Pelodiscus sinensis: one gene and its partners. The protein of the gene in region 1 interacts with the protein of each later gene in a biochemical or structural test. Links are inferred from orthologs where the notes say so. Each region holds a gene or a part of one and is shown in the gene's direction. Other genes may lie near its edges.

Evidence for each region.
Region 2: the proteins of GTF2E1 (region 1) and TAF6 form a complex in vitro, tested with the Homo sapiens proteins (2 studies listed by BioGRID). The link is inferred for Pelodiscus sinensis from reciprocal best matches to the Homo sapiens genes GTF2E1 and TAF6.
Region 3: of the proteins of GTF2E1 (region 1) and CDK7, one has a biochemical effect on the other in vitro, tested with the Homo sapiens proteins (3 studies listed by BioGRID, with this or other methods). The link is inferred for Pelodiscus sinensis from reciprocal best matches to the Homo sapiens genes GTF2E1 and CDK7.

The regions. Positions count from the first base shown.
Region 1 is NC_134711.1:142,369,670-142,373,414, reverse strand, and holds the start of GTF2E1 (general transcription factor IIE subunit 1), read left to right. Parts: upstream 1-1,357; 5' UTR 1,358-1,496; intron 1,497-3,745. Other genes in the region: RABL3 (rab-like protein 3), read right to left, coding at 1,142-1,277.
Region 2 is NC_134734.1:7,580,488-7,584,232, forward strand, and holds the start of TAF6 (transcription initiation factor TFIID subunit 6), read left to right. Parts: upstream 1-956; 5' UTR 957-1,086; exon of another isoform or gene 1,087-1,128; intron 1,129-1,232; exon of another isoform or gene 1,233-1,347; 5' UTR 1,348-1,362; coding exon 1,363-1,521; intron 1,522-2,321; coding exon 2,322-2,408; intron 2,409-2,917; coding exon 2,918-3,071; intron 3,072-3,205; coding exon 3,206-3,262; intron 3,263-3,745. UniProt on the Homo sapiens protein: The TFIID basal transcription factor complex plays a major role in the initiation of RNA polymerase II (Pol II)-dependent transcription.
Region 3 is NC_134716.1:88,002,482-88,006,226, reverse strand, and holds the start of CDK7 (cyclin-dependent kinase 7), read left to right. Parts: upstream 1-1,489; 5' UTR 1,490-1,589; coding exon 1,590-1,649; intron 1,650-3,745. UniProt on the Homo sapiens protein: Serine/threonine kinase involved in cell cycle control and in RNA polymerase II-mediated RNA transcription. Cyclin-dependent kinases (CDKs) are activated by the binding to a cyclin and mediate the progression through the cell cycle.

The DNA.
Region 1 (3,745 bases):
TCTAAAATTAAGCTTACATCTAAGAATTTACACCATGCTCATAATTCAGAATATTTCATATGTTAATATAGGCCATAGTTTAACAATCTACTTGAAGTTTCCAGACAGACCAGAGCAAGTGGACATGAATATAAGAGAAAACAGAATTTTACAAGGCCGAGACTAACAGGTGGAATGGATTTTCAGTCAAAGTGCAGAGCCAAACAATGAACACAGGTTTAAGCAAAAATTGGATGACTATGAAAAGTATAAAATTCAAAGCATCGTCCATTCGGTTTGTACTCCACAGTGGCTGCTGTACTTCCCCATCCTCCAGTTGGTCCCGTTATTTTTGCTGGCTTATGAGAGTTTCTTTTGCCTGGAAATATCTGTCCTTCTCTGACTCAACATTTTTGAGTTTTTTTGTAAGCGCCATCAAACCGGCCCAGACACCCCAATGGGCTGTGCCGTACCCCACAGGGCTGCGGGGTGTTTTGACACTAGAGTTGTGTTTCTCACAGCAGGTCCCATTTGCTACCCGGCCCCGGGGACTTAGCAGACTCAGGCTGAAGAGGAGCGGCAGGCGAGAGCGAGGGGGCTGGAGGCGGGCGAGGAAACACGAGGGCGGGCACCCACTAGGGAAGGGAAGGCCAGTGGGGTCTGCACCGTCCTGCCCAACGGTCACCCCCCGCCCCCTTTCCATTCCACACGCGCCTAGGCCCCCGTTTCTGCCGGAGCGGAGCCCTAGCGCTGGCCCGGGCTTTGCCCAAGGGCGGAACGTTCAGAGGAGCCACGCGCCAGAGCTGGGCCACAGCCTACGGGGGGGGTGGGGGGGGTGGAGGAGGGAGCCGCGTCAGAGCCGGGGCACGTGGCAGGGCCCGCGTTCCAAGACAGCAGCTTTGACTTGCACCACTGCGCAAGCTCGAGCCGGATGTCGTTAGCGACGTCGGGGGGCGGAGGGGGAGAAGGGGCGGGGATTTGCTGGGACACTCGCTCCCGTTGCAAGGCACCAGGCGGGACTGCCCCTGTGCGGAGGTGGGGTGAAGCGGGAAACCCCTCACTCACCTGAGTCCCCCAGCACCAGCACCTTGACCCTGTCTAACGCAGCCATCTTACCCTGCCTAGCAACAGTCTCCCGGCACCGCCCCCTCGGACCACTCACTCATCCCATTGGCTGTCCCCTCACTTCCGCAAGCCTCTATGTTGCCGTCTTCGCTTTTGATTGGCAAATGTGGATCGAGGCGGGGCCTAGTGAGCTCTTCAGAGAACAATTGGTGCGCCTTCCTGTCAATGCTCATCGCAGCCGGAGATTGGGGAGCGTCGCCGCCTCCTATCCCCAACTGGGTTGGACCCAACAGGCTCGCGCCGTGGCGAGGGTGGGGGTGCCTCGTGTGTGCGTCACAAAGGTGCGCTGCTGCCGGGCTGGTGTGCGACGAGCGCTGCGTATGACGCGCCGTGACGCAGTTGCCGAAAGCGCCGCCCGGAGACGGAGCCAGTCCGGAGCGGCCGGCAGGCAGGTCAGTCCCGTGCTCTGGCGCGGGGGGCGGTTGCTGGTGCTGCCGCCGCCGCCGCTTTCCGTGCGCTGCAGCCGGGGCGACTCGCAGTGAAATCTTACCCCCCGTTTCCAGGGCCAGGCAGCGGCGGTTCGCTCCCCCCCCGCCCCCCCGCCCGAAGTAAGCCACGTTCTCTGGCTGTTGCAGCCGGACCGAGGCGCGCGGGGGGAGTTAAACGGCGCCGGGGCAGCCCCGCGAGACGCGCCACGTGCGTTGTGCGAAGCCGGCCGTGCGCCCCTCGGGGCAGCGCGCTTCGGGCCAGCGTCCTCGCAACCCCGAGCGCCTCCCTTTGGGCCCCATTGATGCTCCTTCTCAGGTCCAGAGGCTGGTCCTGAGAAGCGTCTGCTGGCGGGGGACCTCTGCCTGGCATCAGGCTCCCCCACCCCCCCCCCGCCAGCTCCTGACTATTCAGCGTGAGAGACGGATCGCTTTCTTCCCTCATCTTTCTGCTTTCCTAGTCGCTGCTTACACCTTGTTCTGCTAGCCAGCTTGCTGGGTAGTTCCAGGTCCAGAACTCAGGCGTTTTGCCTTAAGAATAAAGAATATTCAAAAGGAGATTTTGGGAAAAGTAATGGGGTGCAAGGAAATACATGGTTAGGTTAGAGGAATTATAGAAGGGGGATTTAGGCAGGCTGCTATAATAGATTTGGAGATTAAGTTTAGGAAAAGCACAGCTAATACAGTGGGAGGGGGAACCATCAGAAACAACACACACAATGGCTGTGTCTAAGAGACTGGCAAGTGTTTCCGGAAAATCAGCCGCTTTTCTGGAAAAACTTGCCAGCTGTCTACTCTGGCTGCTTGAATTTCTGGAAAAGCGCTGACGATCTCATGTAAGATCGTCAGTGCTTTTCCGGAAATACTATGCTGCTCCCGTTCGGGCAAAAGTCTTTTTCCGAAAGACTTTTTGCGCAAAAGGGCCGGTGTAGACAGCACAGGACTGTTTTCCGCAAAGAAGCCCCGATCGCGAAAATGGCTTTTGCGGAAAAGCGTCCTGCCAATCTAGACGTGCTTTTCCGAAAATGCTTTCAACGGAAAACTTTTCCGTTAAAAGCATTTTTGGAAAATCATGCCAGTGTAGACGTAGCCAATAGGTGGAAGGAATGCCATAAGAGACTGAGGTGGTGAGTAAATAGGTGGTCTCATATGAGACCAAGAGGTGGTGAGTGATAGAGGCTGTCTACACTGTAAGCTTTTGCTGCAGAAAATATACTAATGAGGGGTTCATTAATATGACTCAGGTTGTCGTTAGCATATTTTCTGTCTGTTGTTTTTGTGCAAAAAGAAGCAGCATAGCTGCTTCCATTTTGCGCAAAACCCCCTTTTTGCCTCAAAAAATCCTAATGCCTCAAAAAAGGTGTAACCAATCTTGCGCAAAAAGGGGTTCTTGCACAAAAAGGAAATCTCCACACTGCTGGTTTTTGTGCAAAAACTGATCAGAAGAGCGTATGCAAATGCAGTGCAAGAAAATGCAAATCTGCACTTCATTTGCAGTGCCTCTTCTGGCAACACTCATAGGCTATGTCTACGCTGGCGGGTTCTTGTGCCAGAAATATGCAAATGAGGCTACACGGCCCCTTGCGCAAGAAAAACCCTCTTGTGTAATGCCTCTACGCTGATTATTTTCAGGAATAACAGCATTGCACAAGAGGGTTTTTCTTGAGCAAGAAGGGGCAGTGTACATGCTCCTTCTGGTGCAAGAGCCTCTTCTGCAAAAATGGCGGCTCATTAGCTATATAGATGAGGCTTGGCGATATTCCAAGCTTAGCCTCATTTGCATATTTCTGGTGCAAGAACCCACCAGTGTAGACATAGCCAGAGTGCAGATGAGACATGAGTTTGCAGCTGCTGAAAAAATGCCTACCTCGGATACCAAATGACAGGACTTACCCTCCCACCTTTCTTGGGATACTTATTCCTATCCCACTTCAACTAACTAGTTCTCTGCTTTTGCGGAAAAACTTGCCAGCTGTCTACACTGGCCGCTTGAATTTCCGCAAGAACACTGACTATCTCATGTAAGATTGTCAGTGTTCTTGCGGAAATACTGTGCTGCTTCCATTCAGGCAAAAGCCCTCTTGTGCAAATGCTTTTGCGCAAGAGGGCTAGTGTAGATAATGCAGTATTGTTTTGCACAAAAAAGCCCCGATCGCAAAAATGGCAGTTGGGGCTTTCTTGCGCAAAACTGCGTCTAGATTGGCACGGACGCTTTC
Region 2 (3,745 bases), on another chromosome or scaffold:
GATGGAAATTTTCAGCCTTTCATTATCAAAGGGAAGATTTGCTTTTGGAAGTTGGTCAAAGAGAAATTCTAGAGTTTGTGGGGAAAAGGAAACTGGGTTTTTGGGCATGTGCCATGCAACCTATGACATGCAAAGGGCTTGGAGAACCCAGGTGTTCAGGACACCAACTCCTCCCCTTCAATGCTCCCCGGCCCCATTTCCCTCCTAGAATCAGGGAGAGAACCCAGGAATCCCGGACCCTAGCACCTACACTTACAACATATTGTATTTGATGTGCCTCTTCTGATTGCCCCAGTTCCAGCACCTCCGAGGTACTTACATACTGCCAGGTGGTTAGCAGCTGCCCATGCAATGCCCCATGCCCTGTCCCCCACCCCCAGTTCCTATATAGCCCATATGGATCTGCTAGTGACGGCTGCCATTTCTACACTGAGGCTGTGTCCCCACCTCTGGCCTGGTTCTTTCAGCCCCATACAGACCACGTGGATATCTCAGGAGACCATGGCTCCCTTCCCCATCTTAGCTTGCAAAGCACAGCTGGCCTGAACCCCAGTCCCTAGCAGTTCCACTCACCTCCCCACACAGGCCATGGCCCCTTTAAGAGACGCGCCCCCATTACCTTCGCAGGGGGTGGCTCGCCTTTCCTCCTCCTCAGCTGCAGCCCCAGCAGGGGGAGCCGCGTAGCCCCGCACCAGTCCTAGGCTAAGGCTGCTAATAGCCGCGGTGGCCCTTTAAGGGGGGAAGGGGAGGGAGGGGATGAAGCATGAGCAGTAGGCGCCTCGCAGAGCGCAGCAAGCGGGAGAGCGACGCATGCGTGGGGATGTGGCGTGCCTCTAAAAAAAAAGGGATCTGGACTGCTCATGCGCGTCATCAACCAAAGGCTGGGGCGCTAGCGCGCATGTTTTCCGCACTTGGCCATGTTGCACATGCTTGGTAGAAAGGAATCCATGCGCGGCACGCAGGCGCCGTCCTAGCTGTGAGGCACCACGCACACAGGCACTGTCCTCCTCCCGCGCCCCATCCCGCGCCTGCGCAGTGCGTCCCTGCCCGCCTGCCGGTCTCCAGGGCTGGCCCCGCCCCTCGGAGGTGCTCGGGTCCTGGCAGGGGTGTAGCGCGGCACCGGGATCGGTGGGGGAATGTAGCGGGGGCGAGGAGGTTGCGCCGCAGCGCGGGCGTGCAGCTGCCGGGAGAGGGAGGGGCGCCGGCACGGTGGGGGGCGGGAGTTAGGGGAGGGGCTAGGGAAAGGGGCGGGGCCAGCCAGGTGGGGGATGGGGCCCTTGGGGTCCGGGCCGCGCAGTGGCGGGAGGTTCCGCCGCCCCGGCCCGTGTCTCACCCCCCTCCCCGCAGGTGCGGCGGGGCGCGATGGCGGCCGAGGAGAAGAAGGCGAAGCTGAGCCACACGCTGCTGCCGGCCGAGTCCATGAAGGTGATGGCAGAGGCCGTGGGCATCGCCCAGGTGCCCGAGGAGACCTGCCAGCTGCTGGCCGACGAGGTCAGCTACCGCGTCAAGGAGATCACCCAGGTACGGGCACCCCGTCCTCGGCAGAGGGGAGTGACCGGAACAGGGATCCCTCCCCGCTGCCCATTCCCAGCCTCTGACAGACTAGGATAGCCACTCCCACCCATCCTGGCTAATAGCTATTAATGGACAGAACCCCCGTGAACGTATCTAGCTCTCTTTTGAACCCAGTTAAAATCCTGGTCTTCACAACATCCTCCATCAAGGAGTTCCACAGGTTGGCTGTGTGACAAACTACTTCCTTTGGTTTGCTTTAATTCTGCTAACAATTGATTTCATTTGATGACCCCTAGTTCTTGTGCTATGGGAACAAGTAAATAATTTCCCTTATTTACTTTGTCCACACTGGTTGTGATTTTATACACGTCCATCATATCCCTCTTTAGTCTCCTCTTTTGTAAGGTGACATGCCCCAGTCTTATTAATCTTCCTCTGTCCACGGCATCTCCCCTTCCTTCCCTGGCATTGCCACATCCTCTCGGCTCCAGCAGATTGCCCATGTATGGGCAGGGGGTCCCACAGGCACTCTCTGCCCCTAGCATTGCCTCACTTCCCTGTCTTTGGAAGATCACCCAGCTGTGGGCCCCCGGACATTGTCCTGAGCAGTTGGTGGGTTATGGAAATCACACGGGTATACAGGGCCCCCAGCTGTCCCAAGACCCTCCCATCCAGTTTCTGGCCCGAGGAGAACCTCATGCACCCAATGCCTCCACCTCCCAGTTGCTCTGCTCCTGCCCTTGGTTGCCTGAGGGTCCTTGGAGCAGAGAGGGGTGAGACAACCCTCACTTCCCATTTGCCTGCAGGATGCTCTGAAGTTCATGCACATGGGCAAGCGTCGGAAGCTGACCACCAGCGACGTGGACTATGCCTTGAAACTGAAGAACGTGGAGGTAAAAGGGGCAGTCCCAGCCCCGAGGAGCTTGTGGGGCAGGCTCTTGGCTGGCATTGGAGTCCTGTGGGCTTGGGGGCCATCTGAGTAAGGCCATGTGCTTGGTGCTGGGGAGGGGAGGACAGTTCTGAAGTGCAGAGGGGCTTTTCATGGATTTCAAGGCCTGAATTCCTAGAACAGAGACTCCCCTGAGCTTTGGGGGGGGGAGGTTCCCCCTGCCGGTCACTATGGTAGGGCGCATGTAACATTCAGGGAGACAATTTCCAGCATAGGTATATGTTTTCCCAAGGACAAAATGGTGCTCCTCTCCCTGGTGCAGCAGGTGTGTATTGCACAAGGGACATGCCAAAAGGCAGGTAGAGCCACAGAGCCAGGCTGTATTTACTGTTGGGAGCCAGGCATGTATAGCACGGGGGCTGTGCCGAAAGGCAGGTAGAGCCATGGAGCTGAGCCAAGGGAAGGCTCTGACATGGGGACTCCAGCTCACCCTCTATGTCCCTCTCCCCACAGCCGCTGTATGGCTTTCATGCCCAGGAGTTCATCCCCTTCCGCTATGCCAGTGGGGGCGGGCGCGAGCTCTACTTCTATGAAGAGAAAGAAGTGGATCTGAGCGACATCATCAACACGCCACTGCCCCGTGTCCCGCTGGACGTGTGCCTCAAAGGTGGGGGCAACATGGGGCAGACAGGGATGAGGGGGCATGGAGAGCAAAGGATTATGTGGGGGCAAGGAACGGGAGGTGCAGCACCCAGCCTGCAGTGCTGCTTGCCCCTGATCCTTCTCTCCGCTCCCTTTCAGCTCACTGGCTCAGCATCGAAGGCACTCAGCCCGCCATCCCTGAGAATCCGCCCCCAGGTGAGTTGTGGAGCCAGGTGTCCAGGTGCAGTGCCCCACAGGGACTTGAGTTGTCTGCTTCCTGCGTGTCTGTTCTGTCTGGGCGCTTGGTCTGCAGAGCAGGGTGACTGACAAGCTTTTCCAAGTGCCATCTGCTGTGGTCCCCGAAACTAGAGACTGATCCAGCAGCCTGGTCAAAAGATAATGCATTTCCTACTGAGAAGTGCCCTTGATGTTGTCCTGTGTCCTGCCCTAGACATAGCTGCATTTCAGCATTGCATGTGGGGTCCCTATGTAACCAGCTGCCCCATTCCAGAGGTGTCTGCATTTCTGCGCTGAGCGAGGGGTCCTTGTGTAACCAGCCGCTCCATCCCCGAGGTGGCTGCATCTCCATGCTGGGCGAGGGGTCCTTGTATAACCAGCCGCCCCACCCCAGAGGTGGCTGCATCCCCGTGCGAAAGGGCTGTGCCTTTGGGGCTGGCTGGTGAACCTGCTGTGTCTCTA
Region 3 (3,745 bases), on another chromosome or scaffold:
ATTGTCTGAACAGGGGAGTTGAAGCACACAAAGGATGAATGATTTGCTCAAGGTCATGGAAGTTTGTCAGAACAAGGAACATAGAATCCAGTTTTTCTGTCAGAACAAAAAATATAGAAACCAGATCTCCTGATTACTAGTCATGAGCTCTGGAACACAAACCGTTCTTTTCCCAAAGTACAAAATGGGGATGCCAAAACATACTGAAGAGTATATTAAACAAAGATTAATTTGTTCATATGATTACTGTGCATTACTTACACATGGATGAATAAAAGAGTTTAATTCAATTCTTGTCTACCTGAGGAAATTTGAACAGCTTCCCCTTCTCAACACTTAGGCCAGAATAAGTATATCCACACACTGAGCTTTTCTGGATTAGTGCTTTAAAATAATGTTTAAGTGTATTTAATGTGTCAATATGACCAGTTCTAACTGGAGGTTGGCTGCTACTTCCAGTATAATTGAATGGTTGCATAGAAGGGATAATACCATGCTGAAATGCAGAGCATGCAATAAAAAGAGCAGTTTCTTGCAAGAGTTAATTGTATAGTTCTAATAAACTGGCTTGTTAAATCAAGTGCACATTCCACTAGCACTGGTAGGAGGTCGTAGCCAGGATGTGAAACATGGATGAAAGTAACTCGAAGGAGTATACTCTGTCCAAATTTTCCTGAAAATGATTCCACTTGAGAGCTGGAATATTAATCATAAAGTGCTGTTATACTGAGCTTGATGAGAGCTTTTTAAAAAAACCAGATAATGAAGTGATGGGATTCTGCCTTTTAGACCACCATACTCCTAAATTCTGACAATAAAGCAAAACAAAAAAAATCACTTTGAATATTTTATTCCTCTAACCTCCTCTGCTGTTGAATAATCTTATAGCAGTACTCTTCAGGAATGGTTTGGCTCCACCTAGGCTTGAGCAAGAGGTTGTGACTTGTCAACTGTGATCCATGCCTATCACCCCCAGCCCATATCGCTGAAGTGCACTTTTAAAGGAGCTCACACCTCTACAAATTAAAGGGGAGGCCTGCAGCTGTGTCTCAGTGGCAACCTGGTAGAGGGGAAGGTGTTGGTGAGTGTCCGAGGGGGCGGGGAGAGTTGAATTCAGGCTCGAGCGCCCCTTTTCCCAAAGCTGGTGTCCCTGCCTCTCGTTATGGGAACCGCCCCCGTCCCTAGCGGCGAGCCTGGTGAGGCCGGGCTGTATGCGTGCTCGGCTGGCTTCAGGCAAGCTCCCCGCCCGGAGCTGCTCAACGGGCCGCAATGGTCCAGTGCCCTGGTCACCCCGCCATGCTCAGTAAGACCCCGCGCGACCCGTCCTGCCCCGCTCGCGGCCGGTGTCTGACCCGGGGCGGACTCCGAGAGGGCCGGAACCTAAGACCGCCGAGAAACGCGGGCTACTTAGTGACTGTTGCTAGAGCGGGACGCTGGCGCCGCGAGAACACCTCATTGCAGCCGCTGGGACGGCGCATGCGCCGGAAGCTCGGAAACGGGGCGGGGTTCCGCGTGGGGGCCGGAAGTAGCGGCGCTCAAGCAGTGACGGTTTTAAATCCCCTCGGTCCGGTTCCTCTTCTCGGCTGGTGATGGACGCGAGGATGCGAGCGAAGCGCTACGAGAAGCTCGATTTCTTGGGCGAGGGGCAGGTGAGGCCTGTGAGGGGGTGTCTGGACAGGGGCCTGGGCTGGCCAGTTGGGGGGTTCGGCTCGGGGCAGGGGGTCGGGCCAAGCCGGGCTGCGGTGTCCGTGTGGGGAGTGACTCCCGTTACATCCACCAATCCCATAGCTGCTGTATCGCAGCAGAAGTCGATCCGCAGCCGGACAGCGTGTGGCTCGGGGTGGGTGTGAGAGGGGCCTGAGTGCTGGGCGGAGGGTGGGGATGTGGGGTGAAGACTGGCTGGGCGTGTGGGCTCTGGAGTGGGGCTGGGCAGGAGAGTTTCAGGGCGCAGGCTTCTCGGGAGAGAGGAGACTTTCAGCCCTCTCACCGCAGCGGCCTGAGTCCAGGCGAGAGGTGTCTCTCCAGGGCTGTTGCAGCTCCAGCTGGCACAGCGAGGGCAGGGACACCTGTCCCCTAACTGGGGGAGTTCCAGGCTCTGGGTTGGGATCTGGGAAGGGACACCTGATTCCCCAACAGAGTGGGATGGACACTGTTGCCAAGGGAGTGGTGTGCCTTAAAGGCCCCAAAATAGAACTGCTGTGGTCAGGGGAGCTCGACCCCTCCTTGCAGGCTCTGGCATAGAGCTGGCTTGGTATCTCTTCTGCAGAAGCTCTGTGTTAGAACTGGTGAGGATAGGGGCTTTTGTCCTAGCTACTCCAGGATTGTGCTGGGGCCAGCAGGCAGAGGCAGCACTCTGTGTGGTGGTCCTGAGCCTCTCCACAAGGCTTCGTAGGCAGCTGCATGGCCATCTGGCTACACAACATAAAGGGAAACTTAGCTAGTCTGGGGTGGCGGTAGGGGAGCCAGGGCTGGCCAGTGCTATGGGATGAGAGGTGGGAGTTGCAACTTGGAAGAGGGTGGGCTGGGACTGGCCTGTGCCAAGGGTTGAGGTGTCTGCTGAGGACCATCCTAGCCTCTGTTATAATGAGGCTGAGGAAATTGAGAAGGTGTGACTAGGTGTAGAGGCTGTGGGTTGGCAACTGCAGTCCATTAAATTAAATTATACTCTGGACATATGACTTAGGTTGTAATATTATTGTTCCCTTGTTTTGTTTCCGTGGTATGAAAGAGACAAATTTAGTGAGACTATGCCATCTGCTACCTATTAAGGTCACTTTTAAGCCAGCTCCACGCACATGCCAGCTCCCAAGGATCTGTCTGATCCTCCCACTACTGCCTCCCGCAGAGGTGAAGGTGGGGAAGGGAGCCAGTGCTCACAGGGATCCAGCTTAAAAGTTGGCTCCCCCCGCGTACTGGCTCCTGCCTGCCCCCTCCCCACCCCGTGCTGCTGCCTCTGTATTAGAGGCAGCAGTACAGGGGGGCAGACGACTCTTCGAGAGCTGGTGCTTGCAGTAAGCCAGCTTAAAAGCCAGCTCTGCACACACACCGACTCCCATCTCCCATCCCTCCCCCTCCACTGCCTCTGATAGAGACAGCGGAGGTGGGGGGGAAAGGGTGTAACTGTGGGCTAACCAGTGAGCCCAGGCATATTGGTAAACAGTGTACTTGAGTACACATCGACATCCTTAGCAGGATCGTTGCTAGCAGATCAAGAAGTGATTATTCCCCTCCGTTTGGCACTGGGGAGGCCACATCTGGAGTTCTGTATCCTGTTCTCTCACATGCACACACACGATACAGAAAAGATGTGGACAAATTGTAGAGAGTCCAGGGAAGGGTAACAAAAATGATTAGGAGGCTAGGGCACGTGACTTATGAGGAGAAGTGGAGGGACCTGAGTTTATTTAGACTGCAGAAGAGAAGAATGAGGGGAAATTTGATAGCCTTCAACTACTGAAGTGGAGGAGGGTTCCAAAGAGGATGGAGACAGGCTATTAGATGAGTCCATAGAAGAAGCTCTTTGTTCTATCAAGTTGCAATGAAGGGAGGTCTAGGTTGGATGTTAGGGGAAATTACAGTAAACTTCCGATAATCCGACACCTTTAGGACCTAGGGGGTGCCGGATTATCAGATATGACAGACTATCGGAAGGGGGGGCTATGAGGGGTCTAGGGTGGTGTGGGGGGGATGCCACCCCAGACCCCTCATAGCCCTCCATTCGGTAGTCCGGCTCTGCCCCAGGCAT